Linked DNA regions of Macaca fascicularis. The protein of the gene in region 1 purifies or fractionates together with the protein of each later gene. This does not show direct contact. Links are inferred from orthologs where the notes say so. Each region holds a gene or a part of one and is shown on either strand. Other genes may lie near its edges.

Region 1 (9,336 bases):
CCCAAATGAACTAAAACAGGGGCCTAGCAAGGTATAAGAGAAACTGGACATATCTTAAATATATCAGAGAGGAGTTTTTAACTTGTAGAATAATCATTAATCTTTATGACTCTATCATCATGGTTTTGTTAGGTTAGTGGTATCTCATGAACACAGAAGGATAGCTTCTCATGACCATTTTCTATGACAGTTCCCTGAAGCAAAGTATCCTATGGGGCCACCTGAGTACATAATATAAAGTTATTGTGAAATTAACAATATGACTATTAACGCTTAATTTTAAGCAGAGATCAAAATTTTTAAAAATACATTCTCCACTGGTGTCCTATATGCCATGTGGTAGTGAACTGTATCATACCTCTTCAAAAGACCTGAGACATCAGTTCAAACAAACGCTATTAGTATCAACTCAAATTATATGAACGTTTAATAATCTCAGATCAGATTATGCTTACTGAGAAAGACAGCAATTGGTGAAATCTATTGATCAACAGCTCTATCTATTCATTTGTTATAACAAAATAATGTAAGTATCTTCCTTTTCAAAATATGTGTTTTGGGGATTTTCTTGTGGGAGTGGTATATGGGTGATCCAATTACAGGCAAGTTTTCTGTCTTCTTTTCACTTGTACCTTCCATACCTTTTTAAATGTGCTATTTACTAAAATAAATAATTACCTTGTGTATTTTTAAAAATAAGCAACAACAGTAAGTTTTTCCTTAAGTTTTGTGTTTTTCTTTTTTTTTTAATAAGTGTTTCATTTTTCACTTTCTCCTCATACACTTATTTATAACACCTCGGATCTGCAAGTGGTTTACAAGAAAATAACAATGAATGTTGCTTTTGCAGACACAAATAAAACTAAAAGGTGGATAAAGATAAGAATTCCCTAAACAAAACAAATTTAACCACTGCAGGCAGACAGGCCAGAAAAGAAAAAAAAAGCAAGAATTTGTCTCTTTTTATCTTTTTTTTTTTTTTTTTTAAACTTAGTTGGCCAGATCTGGAAGAATGGTTCTAATGGTTTCGTTAACTCAACAAATACAACTGCAACACCTAAAAAACATAAAATAAAAATAAAAAGTTTTTATTTTATGTAACATAAAATCCCTTTTATTAATCATATTTTCCCAAAATGGGGAAACATTTCTGAAGGAAAAAAAGATTATGCCATATATTACCCCACAAAACATGTATAAGAAAGTTTTTAGATCAATGGAATTTAAAGAATAAATTCTGTTGTTTTAATCAGACTCAAAAACCACTGAGATATTTACAACACAATGTTTCAGCTTTGCCAAATTTAGCGCTTTACTATTTTTAAGAACCATTAAAAGAAATATTTTAAGAAAACAAATGCTTTTATAAAACACTTCAAAAGAAAATTAATGCTCTGTCCACAAAAAGGAAGGTCATAGAGGCACAATTTCCCAATGAACACCCAGAGAAAGAAAATAAGTGGCCTCAGGCCAAAGATAAAATACCTTTGTCCTCAAATAGCAGTTTCCCTTTCTTGCCAAACATCAGATTACCCCAGTAATGATCAGACTATGCACTAGCCTCCAATATGATCTCACTGCCTCAGGGTCTCACTAGCTTACAGACTAGGTCTCTTTGAGAACCTTGTTATGGGCTAAATTATGTCTCCTAAAAATCCACAGGATATCCTAATTCCCTGTACCTCAGAATGTAACTGTACTTGGACATAAAGGTTAAATGAGGACACTAGGGGTGGGCTCTAACACAATATGACTGGTTCCCTTATAAAAAGAAATTAGGCCATAGACATACACAGAGGGAGAGTATGTGAAGAAACAGGGAGAACTCAGCCATCTACAAGCCAAAGAGAGAGGCTCGGTAGAAACCAATCCCACCAACACTTTGATTTTAGCCTTCCGGCCCCCACAACTGTGAGGAAATAAATTCCCGTGGTTTCAGCCGCCCTCCCACTCTGCGGTATTTTGTCAAGGCAGCCCTATCAAACTAATACAGATTTTGGTACCAGGAAATGGAGTGCTGCTGTAACAAACACCAAAAATGTGGAAGTGGCTTTGGAACTGGGTAACAGGTAATGGCTACAAACGTTTTAGGGTGCATGGTAGAAAAAGACCAGATTGCACTGAAGAGGTTGTTAGAAATATAGACACTAAACGTGTTTCTGGTAAAGTCTCAGAAGGAAATGTGAAACGGGTTACTGGAAAGTGGAAACTTCAAGAGATAAAATTCAGCCTATACTTCATTGCTCTCCATTAATTGCTCTTCCCCATCCAAACTTTTCCCCTGGGCACAAACCCTCTATCGCACTCCAGAAATATACAAATTGAATACGCTCTTCAGTACCCCTGCCCACTCACATCCAAGCCTCTTCCATACACCATGTCAATTTTCAAGGCAAAACCACTGACTTAAGCTCACTTCATACCAAAAATCTTTCATTTCCACCCTCTTATCTCAAGACCAAAGCCCCCTATGTGTGTTATTTACTAACCACAATGATAAGAGCAAGTAATCCCTATACTTAACTACTTTCCTAGAATCCCTGTAACATTTTTTATGTGTAAAACCTTTCTATAATTTCTCCCATTAGATTCTTGCAACTAAGACCCTACGCTACTGGAGCAGAATCGTATTTATTCTGTGTTCTCCTCAATGCCTAACCCAATACAACAGTCTTCCTAATCCACCTATTACTACCTATTACATGAATACCTCGGATCTTCTCTGGAAACATATCACAGGAAGGCAATGGATTCCTCACCACTGGTTTCCTTTATTGAGAAGTAGTTATTTATCTCCTTAGTCTTATTATCCCACATGGAATCCCACTAAAATTATTTAATCACAATATATCAATGTTACCATGCTAAATATCATTTCCGAACTGTACTTATATAAATGTTCCCCTTTGTATGACACTAATTTACAAGAAAAAAATGAAACTTTTATTGTTATAAATATGGAGTTGATAATGTATGTAACAATATCAAATGAAATCCTACTTCAAGCCAAATAACTATTTTTAAAAGTACATGTAACTGTTTCGGACATATATCATCATTTATAGGCACCATCAAGCAGTCCTAAATTCACCAGGAAGTTGTCTGCTTCTTCACTTTAAAGTGTAGGATCTTTCTCTGGCAGATGTGCTATTCGCTCTACCATATTTGGGGACATTCTGGTCCAACTTTGCCTCAAAATATTTCATGAAATTCAGAGTACTTTGTATGTTTCCAAATATACAAAATGTAGCCAACCTGCAACTCAACCTGAGAGACAAGACTATGTCGGATCTGGGATGTAATCTGGAGAAAATAATCTGCCTCTAACTCAGGATAGCTACGTTCCGGGCAATTCATTGTTCTTCTCCAGCTTTTAAATCCCTTAATCCCAATTCTAGACAATGGATTCACTTCATCATTTGTCAAGCAAAATCTCTCCATCCTAGCAGTTAAAAACTAAAAGTGGCCAACTAGGCCTAAATCCATGAAAGTTACATTTCAAGGATTTCCAAGAATCTCTCTCAATAGCTTCAACTTGTAGAAATAAACTAGACTCTGAGAACAGCTTCTATTCCTCACAGTTAGGTGCATTTAAATGCATCTGAAAAGGAAAGATGTCTTTAAGGGCCAACCAGAGCAATGTCTAGGTGATAGGACTTTGAAACACATTAAAAACTGACTAATGATACCTCCCTTTCCAAGCCACAACCATCAGGCCCAGTCAATAAAAAGAAGTGTGGTAAAGAGACAAAGAAAACCAGAACTAGAGAAGGTACGTGAAAAGAATAAACACAGAAAGGAACAAAGGGAAAAAAAGAAACATGTAAGAAATAAGGTACACCATAATCTATTAGTAATACGTTGAGAATAATCTTCCTAAGTTTGTTAGTTTTGGCAAACGAGATAGGAAAGAGGAATGGAGAGTCAAAGGGTACCCAAAACTAGTTTTGCCTACGTTGCACACAAGGGCACAGGTGCATCCATCCAAAGCGCGGTATTGTATTAGAAGATCAGGTCAAAGAACTTCAAGTTTTGCTAGGTTTTTATTTATATTTTTTATTTACTTATTTATTTATTGAGTCAGAGTCGTCTCGCTCTGTCGCCCAGGCTGGAGTGCAGTGGCATGATCTCGGCTCAATGCAACCGCCGCCTCCTGGGTGCAAGCGATTCTCCTGCCCCAGCCTCGCTAGTAGCTGGGACTACAGACGCGTGCCATCACGCCCCACTAATATTTGTATTTTTAGTAGAGACAGGGTTTCATCATGTTGGCCAGGATGGTCTTGAACTCCCGACCTCAAGTGATCCACCCACCTCGGTCTCCCAAAGTGCTGGGATTACAGGCGTGAGCCACTGCGCCTGGCCAAGTTTTGCTAGGTTTTTTAAACACTATTGTTTGCCGAAATTCCATCAAGTGCTAAGGCATACATTATACAAATTTAGATGGTTCCAACATTACAAGATGTTCACTGTAATCACTCACACCCAAATTCAACATGTAAAACTCCCAAGCCCGAAGCCATCACCTCCTCCTCGTTAGTTTTCAGATAAGGTGTTATTCTATAAAAGGTAACCTAAACCAGGAATTTCTAGGGAAACACGAAGGGGATGTTTACATCAAACTATCTACAAGGCAGGTCAAGGCAGTCTGGTCACTTATCAGATTCCTTCTCTATGACATCAAAAGAACATGGAGAAGTTTTCCTTCTAGGCTGGTGAAGTCATAGTCCTCTTATCTATCTGGTGATACCTACCAAACACTAGCCTCCAACCACAGCCCCCACTGCACAAAGACAGTGCCCATTGCCGGGGTCTTCCCAAGCAGAGCACCTCAACAGCGCCACCGCGGAGGAGAGGTCCCCGGGGACCCCCCACTCGCCCCCAGTGACTGCGCAGTGGCCTCCACCTCCCGCCGGCGCCTGGCCACTTCTCCTCCCCCGCAGTCTCCGCTTGGATTTCCATGTGACTGCAGGGAAGAATAGCCCGGCCTTTGTGCCTCTACAAAGAATGCAAGCAAAAATGTACACCATCACCACCCGACAAACGCGGTACTCCGCAAGGCACAAAGCGTCTCCCAAACATCGCTTCCCTAGGAACATCCGGCATCCTGGGGCTGCCAAATCACAGACAAAGGCGCCCATCAGAGCGGGGGGTGAGGGCATTAAGGGAGAGACAAGACCAACATGCTCCCACCAACGGGAGCTGCGGTTAAAAGGGCATGGGCGCCAGGGGTGGGGGACGGGGAACCGGTACCAATTAGCGGCTTGCCTTGGGGTCCCCGAGGCTAAGGCGAGAACGCAGGACCGGGAGCATTGCTGCCCACTCTCTACCGCACCCCGCGCAGCCCGGCACCGCGTAACGGCGGACAGGGCATTCGGGCGCGGCCCCGGCAGCGGAGAGCAACAGGCTCCCGCGCCCCGGAGGCCTGGTCTGCGCTCCGGACCCCCAGGCTAACACCCCACCCCCCGCCCCCCGACACCAAGACTGTGCCCCTCTGGGTCAAGGAAAAGGAAGAACTTTTAAACCTCTTAGAGTCAGCGAGAGCAAAAGAAAGGGGTAGGGGTGGCTGAAAGGTCTAGGATTATCCATCGCGGGGGTGGGAGGAGTGGAGACTTGCGAGTAGCAAAGGAAACTTCTAGACCCCATCCTTTTAAAAAGCCACAGCAGCGGCATCCGCGAAGCGCCTGGCCGCGCGGGGTGGGGCAAGCGCACCGCCCCACAGCCCGCCACCACCCCCACCCCCGCGCGCCGAGCCCCGGGCGCCCGCGCACCTTCCCCGCCGGCGCGCGCGCAGGGCGCGGGGGCGCGCCTCGGCCTCCGGGCCTGGGCTCACGCGCCGCTTACCCGGCTCGCGGCGGCCGCCCAGGGCCGGGACGCGAGGGGGCAGAGGGCTAGGGAGCAGGGGTCGCCGGGGCCTCTGGATGCCTCGCTTCGCCCACGCTCGCTGTCTTCTGAAGTAACGGCCCGGCGAGGAGCTTCGGGATCAAAGCGCACACTCACGCGTGACTGAGAAACTTAATCCCGCGGCGGCCCGACGCCAGCCTCGCGCTCCGCCGCGCCCCCTCCCCCAGCGCGCGCCGCACTTGCGCCGACCGGGGCTGCCGCGGAGGCGGCGGCGGGGCCCAGGCTGCTGGGGCTGCCGTGACGCCTGCGACCGGCGGGGCGGCGGGCGCGCCTCGGCCAATCAGGGGACGCGGCCTAGCGGGCCGGTGCGGGATTTTAAACTCGCTCCTGGGCCGCTAGGCCTGGGGTGTGGGTAGTGGACTTATGAGGTGGTCAGATAAAATACAGACTGGCCTGTTAAATGGGAATCTCAAAAAAGGAATAATTTTAGTACAAGTATATCCCTTGCAATATTTGGGACGTACTTATACTAAAAAGTTCTTCATTGTTTATCGGAAATTCAAATTTAATGGCAGTCTTGAGTTTTTATTTGCCGATTTTGTCAACCTGCGGAAACTGATAGCCTGTTTCTGGTTCCTCAGATTTTTCTTATGTGCACTGCCCTGAGGATGCTTTCTGCATGGGTAGCTTACTAAGTGGCATAGGATGCTGATGAGAAGCGCTTTAATCAGAAAGCGGGGCGGGGGTGGGGGGCAGTCGTCTCACTTTCTAAGAAACTTTTCGCACATCAGGGTGCATTCTTAGTCTGATGATCCAATTTAAAAGCAAAAACAGTAAACATGGAAAAGTTATTAGAGTTACATGGCCCCAGGAAGAACAGATATTCATTTTTTATTTTGTGCCACTTAAGATTTTCTTTCTGTTATCCTGAATTTGGAAGTCCCACGAAATTTTTTCTGCATAAGAAACTCTTTTTCAAAACATCTCTCTAATATTATAGGACCAAAGGATACTCAGAAGTCCAATTTAGAACATTTAATAGAATTTCTTTTATTATTCTGAATAAAAATACTCTTTTCCCGTATTCCTTGGCCTTTCAAACACAGTCACAGCTGTTGACCTCTCTCTTCCTAGAGCCCTCCCCACCCCACCCCTCCTGTAATTCCATGCAATCACACTCTTGGTTTTGCTCCTTCCTCTTAGTCAAGGGCGGAGGTATGGGCTCTGAAGCTTGTACAATTGGGGGTCTGCTTTAACAAAAAACAAAACAAAACAAAACTTTCTTTTGAAAAATCGAAAAATAAACGTCCCTGTAAACACATTGCTAGGGTTGCTCCCAGGCAAGAGAAGGACCCAGAATGTTAAACTACTTCAGTTTCCAGGTAGATCTGCACCTGTCACTAGGCCACTCTTCAGTCTTCTTTGCCACCTCTCCCCCAACCTTTAGATGCTGGAGTTTCTTAAAAATCAGTTACGGGCCCTCTTTTCCTTTTAACTCTTACCTCTAAATACGTTTTCACTTCTAGCTTATCATCTAGTAGCTATGGAATCTTTCTTACATTCATACCTTCAGATTTATCCATATATTCAAGTGTTTATTCGACTTCCCTCTTTGCTTGTCTCAAACCTAGATTGCAAAAAAAGAAAAAAATGCAACCATGATACTTCTGCTCAAGCCTGGTCATCTTCCACAGTTCAGTGTCCCAGTGAATGGAACTGCCATAGATACATGATTCCCACAAACTAGGATAAACCCATTGTGATGCATTCTTATTGTACCCTATGCTTTTGCTTCATAATATTTATCCTATTTTGTAAATATGCATTTAATTTTGTAATTATGCAATGTCTCTTCCCACTTCAACCATAAACCCCATGAGAACAGGGGCTAAGTCACCATTTTATCCTCAGAGCCTAGTAAAAACTTCACACTTGGTTGGCACTCATATGAAATAGGATGAATATACAACTGCAAGAATGAACAATTTGTCCATATAACTTTTGTGTTCTTGTCATAGAGTCATCTCAAGGCATCCCATTTGGAAAGGATTTTCTTATTGCTTAGAAATTCCAAAGGGCTCCTCCTCTTTGAATAGCACTTCTACTTGTCAGTTTTCAAATCTGGTCATTCTCAAATACAAAGGAAGTATGTGCATGAAATGTTAGCTGCTGGGATAGTGTAGGAGGAAAAGAATTTCTTAACTAGCTACTGAAGGAATTCCGTGAGTCCTAAAATTTTAAATGGCGTTTTTTTATATTGAACCATAGGGAAAGAGCCCATAAAACTGAATTAGAGGAAAGTTTTAGAAATTTAACTCTCTGATTTATTGTGGATAAATGAGATTAAAACAAAGGATTTTACCTTGGTTTAAAGGTGCTATTGTTCTAGTCTCCTTTAGCCAAGCAAAATCCATGTGCCCTCTTTAAACAACAGTGTATCAGAGGATAAAAAAAATCTTGTTTAGATTAGTCCTTGCATAAAATTATCCAGCGTTTGGGGATAATTCCACCCAGAAGTTTCTCCTTTTGAAGTTAACCTGCAGAGCTATTGCTCTATTCTCTGTAACTTGTTCTAATCCAGAAAACCTAAGATTTTCTAGAAATCCACCAGGGATATTGCACTAAAAAAAATACCTAAAATAGAAGTTAAAAACATTAAATTAGTTGAAATAAAATCTTGCAGAGAAAGACAAAGTGTAAAGCAGATAGACTCTGTGGGATGGGTTGAAACTTACCCCGTAAGTAAATGGATTAATAATGCTTTCTATTTCATGTCAATATAGCCTCTGGGGTCATTCCACCTGTATCCTCAGTGAGGCATTCTCCACAATAATTTGTTTTTCTCAAATTTGAGTTATATTCAGAGGACTTTTATAAGGGAAAAAGTCCTGGAAACTTCTGAGATTGGTTTAAATGATTGGTTTATTATTTATTGTTCATCATAATTGAACAAGTACAAATATAAACTATGTATATGATATTGTTTTACATTTGTGGCTTCTCTACAACTCTAAAACTAGTGAAAGGCCCAGGTTGTCTACTCAAAACCTTCAACAGCTGCTGAAAAGACAGATCCTGGAAATTGAAGTTTTGATCCATCACAATAACAGAGGATTCTTTTAGTTGCCTGCTGAGCACACAGTCTTCATTCTGCTTTTTAACAGCAGATAGCCAAGGCGTGGGTGAGACCCCCATGCTGGGAGATGTTACTCCAGAACTGCAGGGTTAGAACTCTGTATGAACTAAATCTTTTCCCAAGGACTAAGTGATTTGGGGTAATCCTAATAGTGGGATGATGGGCTATTTCCATCACCTTTAGCCAGCAGTGACTCTTAGTAATAATGCAGCATTTAAATGCAAACTAGATGGCATGCTTGCCAGTCCCTCTACCTAAGGGATATCTAATACATAACAACTGTGCAGTTTTAGTTTATTATAGTTTGTAGATTTTTTGTGTTGTCTATTGGCTGACTGACTTTATGGTTTCAATTTGCC
Region 2 (8,557 bases), on another chromosome or scaffold:
ATGCCCTGTCTCAGAGATATTTCCTTCAAGCCAATGACCAGAAAGATATGAAGGACTGGGTTGAAGCCCTGAACCAAGCTAGCAAGATCACCGTAAGTTTGGTTTCTTCTGTTTTCTGGGGGTAGTAAAAGTGCCTCTTCCCAGGCTGTGGCCTTGTTGGGGTTGGGGAAAACCGAGATGGCAGTGGGGACTTTCCCAGGAGCCTGGTCTGTACCCAGTTCTGTCCCACCTCTTCTCGTTCCTTGGCTTACCAAGCACAAGTTGAACTGAGAGTTTGAGTTTGAATCAAGTTCAAGGGGAAGTTCATGGAGCATCCCCTTTGGGCTTCCTGGGAGGGCTCCCGGTCAGTCATGTTTTGGGTGATTCTGGGATGCTGCTTCAGAATGTGGTAGGATTGGAAAATGGATTGCTGACTGTGAAAAGTCAAGTAACGGGAAAAGCATATGGGGAGAGAAGGCAGAACTTTTTCCCAGCTTGGGGGGATACCCTTCTTACTTTCAGAGGCTGCCTGCAGGGTTAGTCCAAGCCATCCGCCTCCCTGTCCTGGAAAAGCCATCTGTTTAAAAGCATCACAGAGCTAGTTCATGGACTGTCCTACAAGTGTGCTCTTTTTCCTTGAGTTGGCTCATGAAGAATTCCTTTCCTTTTCCTTGGAAATACAGAAAAAGAAAGGAAGAGGGTAGGAAGGATGGAGAGGGAAAACTATATGTTTTGGAAAAAACTAGACTTTTAATCAATAAGACAGGCAGACTCCTGGCTTATATAGATCATGGCTTGTATGCTGAAAAGTTTGTTTCTGTATCATACAGTCAGAAATGCTTATGTTTGAGGGGCTTCCAATAGTGACTATTACGTGCTGCAGCAAATTATCCTCCCAGATTTCTCAGGGTTCCTGTGAACAACTGTATAGAAGAAATGTGTACACATATCTAGTATTCGTGTTGCTAGACCTAACCTGAGTATAATTGAGTCCTATAAGCAGTTTTGCTGATTAGCTTCTTATTCTGATAAACCTTGGTAAACCCGTGAAGAGAGAGAGTGATGAAAAGAGAGAGGATGAATGGCTGGGTGCAGTGGCTCAGCCTTGTAATCCCAGCACTTTGGGAGGCTGAGGTGGGTGGATCACCTGAGGCCAGGAGTTTGAGACCAGCCTGGCCAACATGGTGAAACCCCATCTCTACTAAAAATACAAAATTAGCCAGGCGTGGTGGCACATGCCTGTAGCCCCAGCTACTCGGGAGGCTGAGGCAGGAGAATCTCTTGAACCTGGGAGGCGGAGGTTGCAATGACCCGAGATCGTGCCATTGCATTCCAACCTTGGCAACAAGAGTGAAACTCTACCTCAAAAATAAATAAATAAATAAATAAATAAATAAATAAATAAATAAATAAAATAATAAAAAATTAGTGAGGCCTGGTGGCTGACACCTGTATTCCCAGCTACTCAGGAGGCTGAGGCAGGAGGATCACTTGAGCCCAGAAGTTTGAGGCTGCAGGGACTTATGATTTTACCACTGTACTTTGGCCTAGGCAACAGAGTGAAACCCCATCTCTTAAAGAAGTCTCAGGTAGTGTAAGCAGCTTTGGAAAGGCTCTGCATGTTGATCTGAAGCAGTGCATGACACCGGAGCATAAGCGGTGACAAACAGTGTTCTTTGGGATTTTGAGAGGAAACACAGCAGCCAAGCTTCTGTTCTTCCTTTTCTGGCCACTGGGAACTCTAAAAAGTTACTTTCCGGCTGGGCGCGGTGGCTCATGCTTGTAATCCCAGCACTTTGGGAGGCCAGAGTGGGCAGATCATGAGGTCAGGAGTTCATGACCAGCCTGGCTAACATGGTGAAGCCCCATCTCTACTAAAAATATAAAAATTAGCCGGGCATGGTGGCGGGGACCTGTAATCCCAGCTATTTGGGAGGCTGAGGTAGGAGAATCACTTGAACCCAGGAAGTGGAGGTTGTAGTGAGCTGAGATCGCGCCATTGTACTCCAGCCTGGGCGACAGAGTGAGACTCTGTCTCAAAAAAAAAAAAAAAAAAAGTTAATTCCCTCCTTCTTTGCTGGGTTTCAGGAATTCATCTGGGTCATTTAGGGGAAATTTCTGCCTGTTCCATGGTGATTTTAATCACTAAATATCAACTAAAAATCAACATCCCTAAAAATGTGGTTACATAATAACAGAACTCACAGAAAATGAGAAAGAGTAGCTTAGGTAGGTCGTGACGTATAGCAACAAGGAGTCAGGCAGTCCTAGAGCCAAATCACTTGATTTTAATGAGCTTGAGTTGACCTCATCTATAAAGAGAAAATCATGCCTGGTTGATAAGATTAGTGATAGTGCAGCAAAGAGCTTATCAGTGCATTGCCTGGCACTGAATGGAGGCCCAAAAAAACTGTAACTGTTGGTATCTCTCAGCCAGAAGGAAAATAGAAGGCGGAATTTCTGGCCTGATTTGGAGAGGTAGGGAGGGGGCAGAGGACACCCTTGTCTATGTAAACTGAGTGGGCAGTCCAGGAAGAGAAGGTCTCGTCATCTTTGTGGGGGCCCAGCATAATCAGGGTGCTCTTATTGTTTTGAACAGACACTAAATGACAGGGCTCTCATATAACTCTGAGCTCTTGAAAGGGTCTGGATCCTTAGGTCTTTCTGACTCTGAAAGCTGTAGAAGTGGGAGAGAACCTTAGCTTTTCTCTCAAAGTCCTGGTGACGTCCCGGCAGATAGATGTAGGGTGTTGCATTCTCCTAAAGGTGGGGCATTGTGATGCTGGGGCACTGGTGGGAAGTCAGGATTTAGTAGACATTCAGCCGTATTTTTGTTTTTGTTTTGAAACAGAATCTCGCTCTGTAGCCCAGTCTGGAGTGCAATGGTGTGATCTCAGCTCACTGCAACCTCTGCCTTCTGGGTTCAATCAATTCTCCTGCCTCAGCCTCCTGAGTAGCTGGGGTTACAGGCGCCCACCACTATGCCCAGCTCATTTTTGTATTTTTAGTAGAGACAGTTTCACCATGTTGGTCAGGCTAGTCTTGAACTCCGCACCTCAGGTGATCCACCCCCCTCGGCCTCCCAAAGTGCTGGGATTATAGGCATGAGCCACCGTGCCTGGCCAACATTCAGCTGTTAATCCTGGCTTTAGGTAAATGACTCAACTGTTCTGGGCCTCTTTTTTTTTTTCTTTCTAACAAAATGAAAGATTTCCTCAGCATTTGCAGACTCTAGTGTAAATGAGTGAAGTAGGCAAGGAGGAAGAAACATGAGAACAAGAATGAGGATAAGTGACATCTGACCCCTGGCCTCTCCCATTCTGCTGGGGAGAATGGTAGAGACTGTGCAAACACAGAATGCATTTTCTATCTAAAAGGGAACTGCTGCAGAGCTGAAAATCTGGATTTGTCTGTGAAATATCCCAAAACTTAGATGCAGATTTTAAAAAAACACTGCATGTGACTAACAAAACATTATTTGGGCAAAGTTGGTGGGTGGGCCACCAATTTGCAACCTCTGGCCTGTGATTTCCAGCTAACCATAAAAATTCTATGATGGGCCGGACGCGGTGGCTCACACCTGTAATCCCAGCACTTTGGGAGGCTGAGGCCGGCGGATCACGAGGTCAGGAGATCCTGGAGACCATCCTAGCTAATACGGTGAAACCCCGTCTCTACTAAAAAATAGAAAAAATTCGCCGGGCGTGGTGGCAGGCGCCTGTAGTCCCAGCTACTTGGGAGGCTGAGGCAGGAGAATGGTGTGAACTCGGGCGGCGGAGCTTGCAGTGAGCCGAGATCGTGCCACTGCACTCCAGCCTGGGCGACACAGCGGGACTCTGTCTCAACGACAACAACAACAACAACAAAATTGTATGATGATTTGATCAGCTGTGGTACCATATCTCTGTCAAGGAAGAACAAAGATAACTCATTCTTCCAAAAGGGCTCTGTGTATAATTATTAGTACCACCTGGAAGCCTTAATTAAAATATTTTGTAATATGTTTTCCTCTTAGTTGTGTTTCTAAAGCATTTAATATATTCTATCATTTGATAACCACAACAATGGTTATGATAAATATTATTCCTCTTTTCATTTTATACATGAGACGGTTTAGGCCTAGAGAGGTCTGATGGTTGCCAAAGGTCGCTCAGGTGGTTTGTGAGAGATGAAGGGTTATACCACAAGCCTTCTGGCTCCAGACTTCATGGACCCCTTGTTCTGTCTCTACAAAGGCATGCACTTTTACCTGTTCCATCTGCCCAGAATGACTTCTCCCAGCTTCATGTTCCTGATTCCTTTTCTTAGTTTATTATTTTTTATTTTTTTCGAGACAGGGTCTCTCTTACCCAGCCTGGAGTACAGTAGTGTGATTATAGCTCACTTCAGCCTCCAACTCCTGGGCTCAAGAGATTCTCCTACCTTGGCCTGTTGAGCAGCTATGTGCTACCACACCTGGCTATTTTTTTTTTTTTTTTTTCCATTTTTAGTAGAGACAGGATCTCACTGTGTTCCCCAGGCTGGTCTTGAACTCCTGGGCTCAAGTGACCCTCCTGCCTTGGCCTCCCAAAGTGCTGGGATTACAGGTGTGAGTTCCCAGATCTGGCCCCCAGCTCCTGTTCACCCTCCAGGTTGCCGTTTGAGTGTCTCCCTGCCTCCTCCTCTGGAGACCTCCCTGCCCACTCCGTTTCCAGCAGGTCCCCTGCTGTGCGCTGCCTCAGCTCCCTTGATCTTCTTTGTGCCACTCACCACCACTTGTAATTACTCTGTTTTATGTATTTTTTTTGTCATTCCCCCTACTAGCATGTAAGTGCCATGAGGGTGGGGACCCACGTGTGTTTTGCTGACACTTTATCTTTGGTTTCTAGCCAGGGAAGGGCTGGCTTATAAGTAGGTGCTCAATAAATTCCTGGAGTCAGTTTGTATCTGTGTTGGGGGAGGGCGTTGCTGGCGGAGACGCTCATATTCAGATTTGGACTGCGGAAGGCCTGGGGAGGACCTGCAAGTCTGACTGTAATTTGGCACATTAGCTTTTCTCACGGCACCCCCATTCTGCTTTGGGCTCCCCATGTTTCCTAAACGTTCTGTTCCCCATTGACTGTTGCTGCCGCTCTCCCCAGGTACCCAAAGGTGGGGGCCTACCCATGACCACTGAAGTTCTCAAGAGCTTAGCAGCTCCTCCAGCCCTGGAGAAGAAGCCACAGGTGGCCTACAAGACAGAGATCATCGGAGGGGTGGTGGTCCACACACCCATCAGCCAGGTGAGGGGCCTGACTGGGGCTGCGGGGGGAGTGGGGGTGTAGAAGTGTCCATGGTGTGCCTGTGATGTGCTTGGAGCACTGTACTGGGGAAAAGGAGGGTGGGAGTTGGAGGGGAGCTGGTGCCAGTGGAGCCATCAGGGAAGTACAGGGCATGTTACAGCCCCATTCATGGGTGTTAGTGACAGCATTGCAGAAGTGCAGGCCACTGCATCTTGAAGCCGAATGGCCTGTGCAGCTCTCTGCTGGACACAGGAGACACGGAAGATGAGGGTTTGTGAAACCCGTAGGAAATGGGATAGAAGAAGGCAAACAAGGCTGGAAACCAGCCCGGTGTCCCTCCTGGTTCACATTCTCTGTCGTTCCCTTTCTCCTGGGTCGGCCCAACCTCCCTGATGCTGGTTCTGTGAAAGTACCCGGTAAAGTGCATGACAGAGCAAAGGAAAGGTTTATTTTCCTGTTTTAATTATTTATATTTATGTAAGTTTTTTTTTTTTTCTGAGATGGGGTGTCACTCTGTCACCCAGGCTGAAGTGCAGATACACATAATCACGACTCACTGCAGCCTGCGCCTCCTAGGCTCGTGCAATCCTCCTACCTCAGCCTTCCCAGGCTCAAGTGATCCTGCCGCCTCATCTGGGGCTACAGGCATGAGCCCCCGTGCCTGGCTAATGTTTTTTTTTTTTTTGGTGGAGATGGGGTTTTGCCATGTTGTTATTTAATTTTTTAGACAGGGTCTCACTCTGTTGCCCAGACTGAAGTGCAGTGGTGCAATCATGGCTCACTGCAGCATCAGACTCCTGGGCTCAAGCCATCCCCCCATCTCTGCTTCCTGAGTAGCTGGGACTACACACCTGGGTAATTCTTTTTTTTAATTTTTAAATTTTAAAATGAAAATTAAACAAAAATTTTAAAACAGTTTTTAATTTTTTTGCAGAGACTGGGTCTCACTGTGTTGCCCAGGCTGGTCTAGAACTCCTGGGCTCAAGCGATCCTCCTGCCTTGGCCTCCCAAAGTGTTGGGATCACAGGCATGAGCCACTGTGCCCACCATTTATTTCTTCTTTGACTTAGGGCAAAGAGGCCAGAGATTCAGGCAGGGGGAGGCGGATGGGGCTATGGCTGCATAGAGGCAGGGAGGCGCTGATCCTGACACTGTTTCCTTGCAGAACGGTGGGGATGGGCAGGAAGGGAGTGAGCCTGGGTCCCACGCCATCCTTCGAAGGTCTCAGAGTTACATCCCCACGTCAGGCTGCCGTGCTTCCACCGGGCCTCCCCTCATTAAGAGTGGTTACTGCGTGAAGCAAGGGAATGTGGTGAGTGTCAGCACAGGGGCTAAACTGGGGTTCTGGTGACTCCTCAGAACCAGTAGCTGTAGACATAGCAGAGGTGAGAGGAGATTGACAGGAGGTGCCTCAGTCCTCCATGGAGCCTCCACCTTTGAGGGTTGACCATTGGCTGACCATTGGGGTCTGACCATTGGCTCCCGCCTGTCAGAGGTGTCAAGCCTGATATGAAGAAGCCCTTTCCCCTGCTGAATGTGGGGGCCGGATTTCTAGGGGGCTGGGTCTCTGGGAGCTTAGCATGAGAACACCCTCCACAATGCTGGGCACCTCTTGCTAATGTTCTGCCTTTTATTTTGTTATTACAGCGGAAGAGCTGGAAACGTCGCTTCTTTGCACTTGATGACTTTACCATCTGCTACTTCAAGTGTGAGCAGGTTTGTAGTAGCTTTGCTGCCCTTCTGAGAGGTCATGGAAACTAAGAGGTGCACAGATGCACACCCACAGGAGAGTGTGCATGAGTGGAGATGTGGGCACACAAAGACTTCAAAGGCACCTCTGTCTTATCTCCATCCATTCTGTGCACACATCTTTACAGTGACAGTAAAGTGTCCTCTCAGCAGTGAGTTGCTGTGTGGTCAGAATCACAGCTACACAGCATCTTCTTAGGTTTGTTTTGTCTTTTTTCTTGTTTTTGGAGACATGGTCTTTCTCTGTCACCTGTCACCCAGGCTGGAGCACAGTGGTGGATTTTTTGTAGAGACAGGGTTTCACGATGTTGCCCAGGCTGGTCTTGAACTCCTGGCCTCAATCCGTCCTCCAGCCTTGGCCTTCCAAAGTCCTGGTAGTACACGCAGCAGCCACTCTGCCCAGCCAGATTTTTTTTTCTCTTGCTGATTATTTTGAGACCGGGTTATTTGTCAACCTGATTTTAGCCAACCATCTCTGAGAAAGGGGTATTTGTCAGCTGGTCTTGGTCATGATATGTCACAGGCAGCCTCACTTACCTGTCTTTCTGTTCTTTCCACCAGGACCGAGAACCACTGCGCACTATATTTCTTAAGGATGTTCTCAAGACCCATGAATGTCTAGTCAAGTCTGGGTAATTGTGTCTGTTTTTTCTCTTCTGATCCAAACCTCCATTTGTCCTCTTAAATCTCCCTTTACCACCCTTCAGAGACTCTATGCAAGAGTCATGAGCTTCCAAGAGCCAGGCAGAGGAGCCTAACTAACACCTTGTGACTGACTCACTGCATTCAAGCTAACACGGGGAGAAGACCGCCCTGGGCACATTTGCCCTCTTCCTATACCTTACTCTGGCTCCTAAGCAGATAGGCCCATATAATAGTTTCTGCTGGGCAAAAAGAAAGCATATAGAAACAAAGAGTGGGGCTCCAAAGCTTCTCAGGTATTAGGATTAAGTGCTCAATTCCTAGCGGAACTCAGGCTAAGAGGAGAGACCAGACCTCTAGGTCATTCACCTCAGTGCTTCTGGTCAGATCACTGTACCAGTGCCTCTTCCCTGACCTTCTTATGCTTTTTCTCCTCCTTTTGACCCTGATGTCCCATTAACACAGGTGATTCATAGCATCTCTGTGTTACTCCCACTGGGAAAGAAGAACAGGTATTTTAAAGGGATTCCTCTGTCCTCTAGGAAATAGTTACCTTCCAGGTGTCGCATTACATAGGATGAGTTTGGGACTTGGCAAGGGATCTCCCAGGTCCAACGCCAAATACAGATGCCTATAGAACTAATCTTTAGAGACCCCAAGGGTATTGGGGCACCCAGAAACCCTCTTTCTGGCCACCAATCTGCAGTCTTTAGAGACTGGGTGTTTGTGTCCCTCCATCTCACGGCTTGTGCAAGCAGAACCCTCAGATATCATCAGGAAAGCTGTTCACAGCAGGCCGACTCTTCTCCCATGAAGGCACAAACAGTCTTGCATGAAAACAACGTGCTGTGTGACCCAAGGAGGCAGAGACAGAAGCATTCTCCTAAGTCTTGCAAATGGCAGTTGCAGAGTACAGAAGACTGGGG

What was found.
Region 2: the proteins of MPDZ (region 1) and PLEKHA2 purify together in Homo sapiens (affinity purification with western blotting; 3 studies listed by BioGRID and IntAct, with this or other methods). This does not show direct contact. The link is inferred for Macaca fascicularis from reciprocal best matches to the Homo sapiens genes MPDZ and PLEKHA2.

What each region holds. Positions count from the first base shown.
Region 1 is NC_088389.1:85,600,655-85,609,990, reverse strand, and holds the start of MPDZ (multiple PDZ domain protein), read right to left. Parts: upstream 6,126-9,336; 5' UTR 5,842-6,125; exon of another isoform or gene 5,769-5,841; intron 1-5,768. UniProt on the Homo sapiens protein: Member of the NMDAR signaling complex that may play a role in control of AMPAR potentiation and synaptic plasticity in excitatory synapses. Promotes clustering of HT2RC at the cell surface.
Region 2 is NC_088382.1:42,350,761-42,359,317, forward strand, and holds part of PLEKHA2 (pleckstrin homology domain-containing family A member 2), read left to right. Parts: coding exon 1-92; intron 93-5,099; coding exon 5,100-5,240; intron 5,241-6,405; coding exon 6,406-6,552; intron 6,553-6,887; coding exon 6,888-6,956; intron 6,957-7,550; coding exon 7,551-7,621; intron 7,622-8,557. UniProt on the Homo sapiens protein: Binds specifically to phosphatidylinositol 3,4-diphosphate (PtdIns3,4P2), but not to other phosphoinositides. May recruit other proteins to the plasma membrane.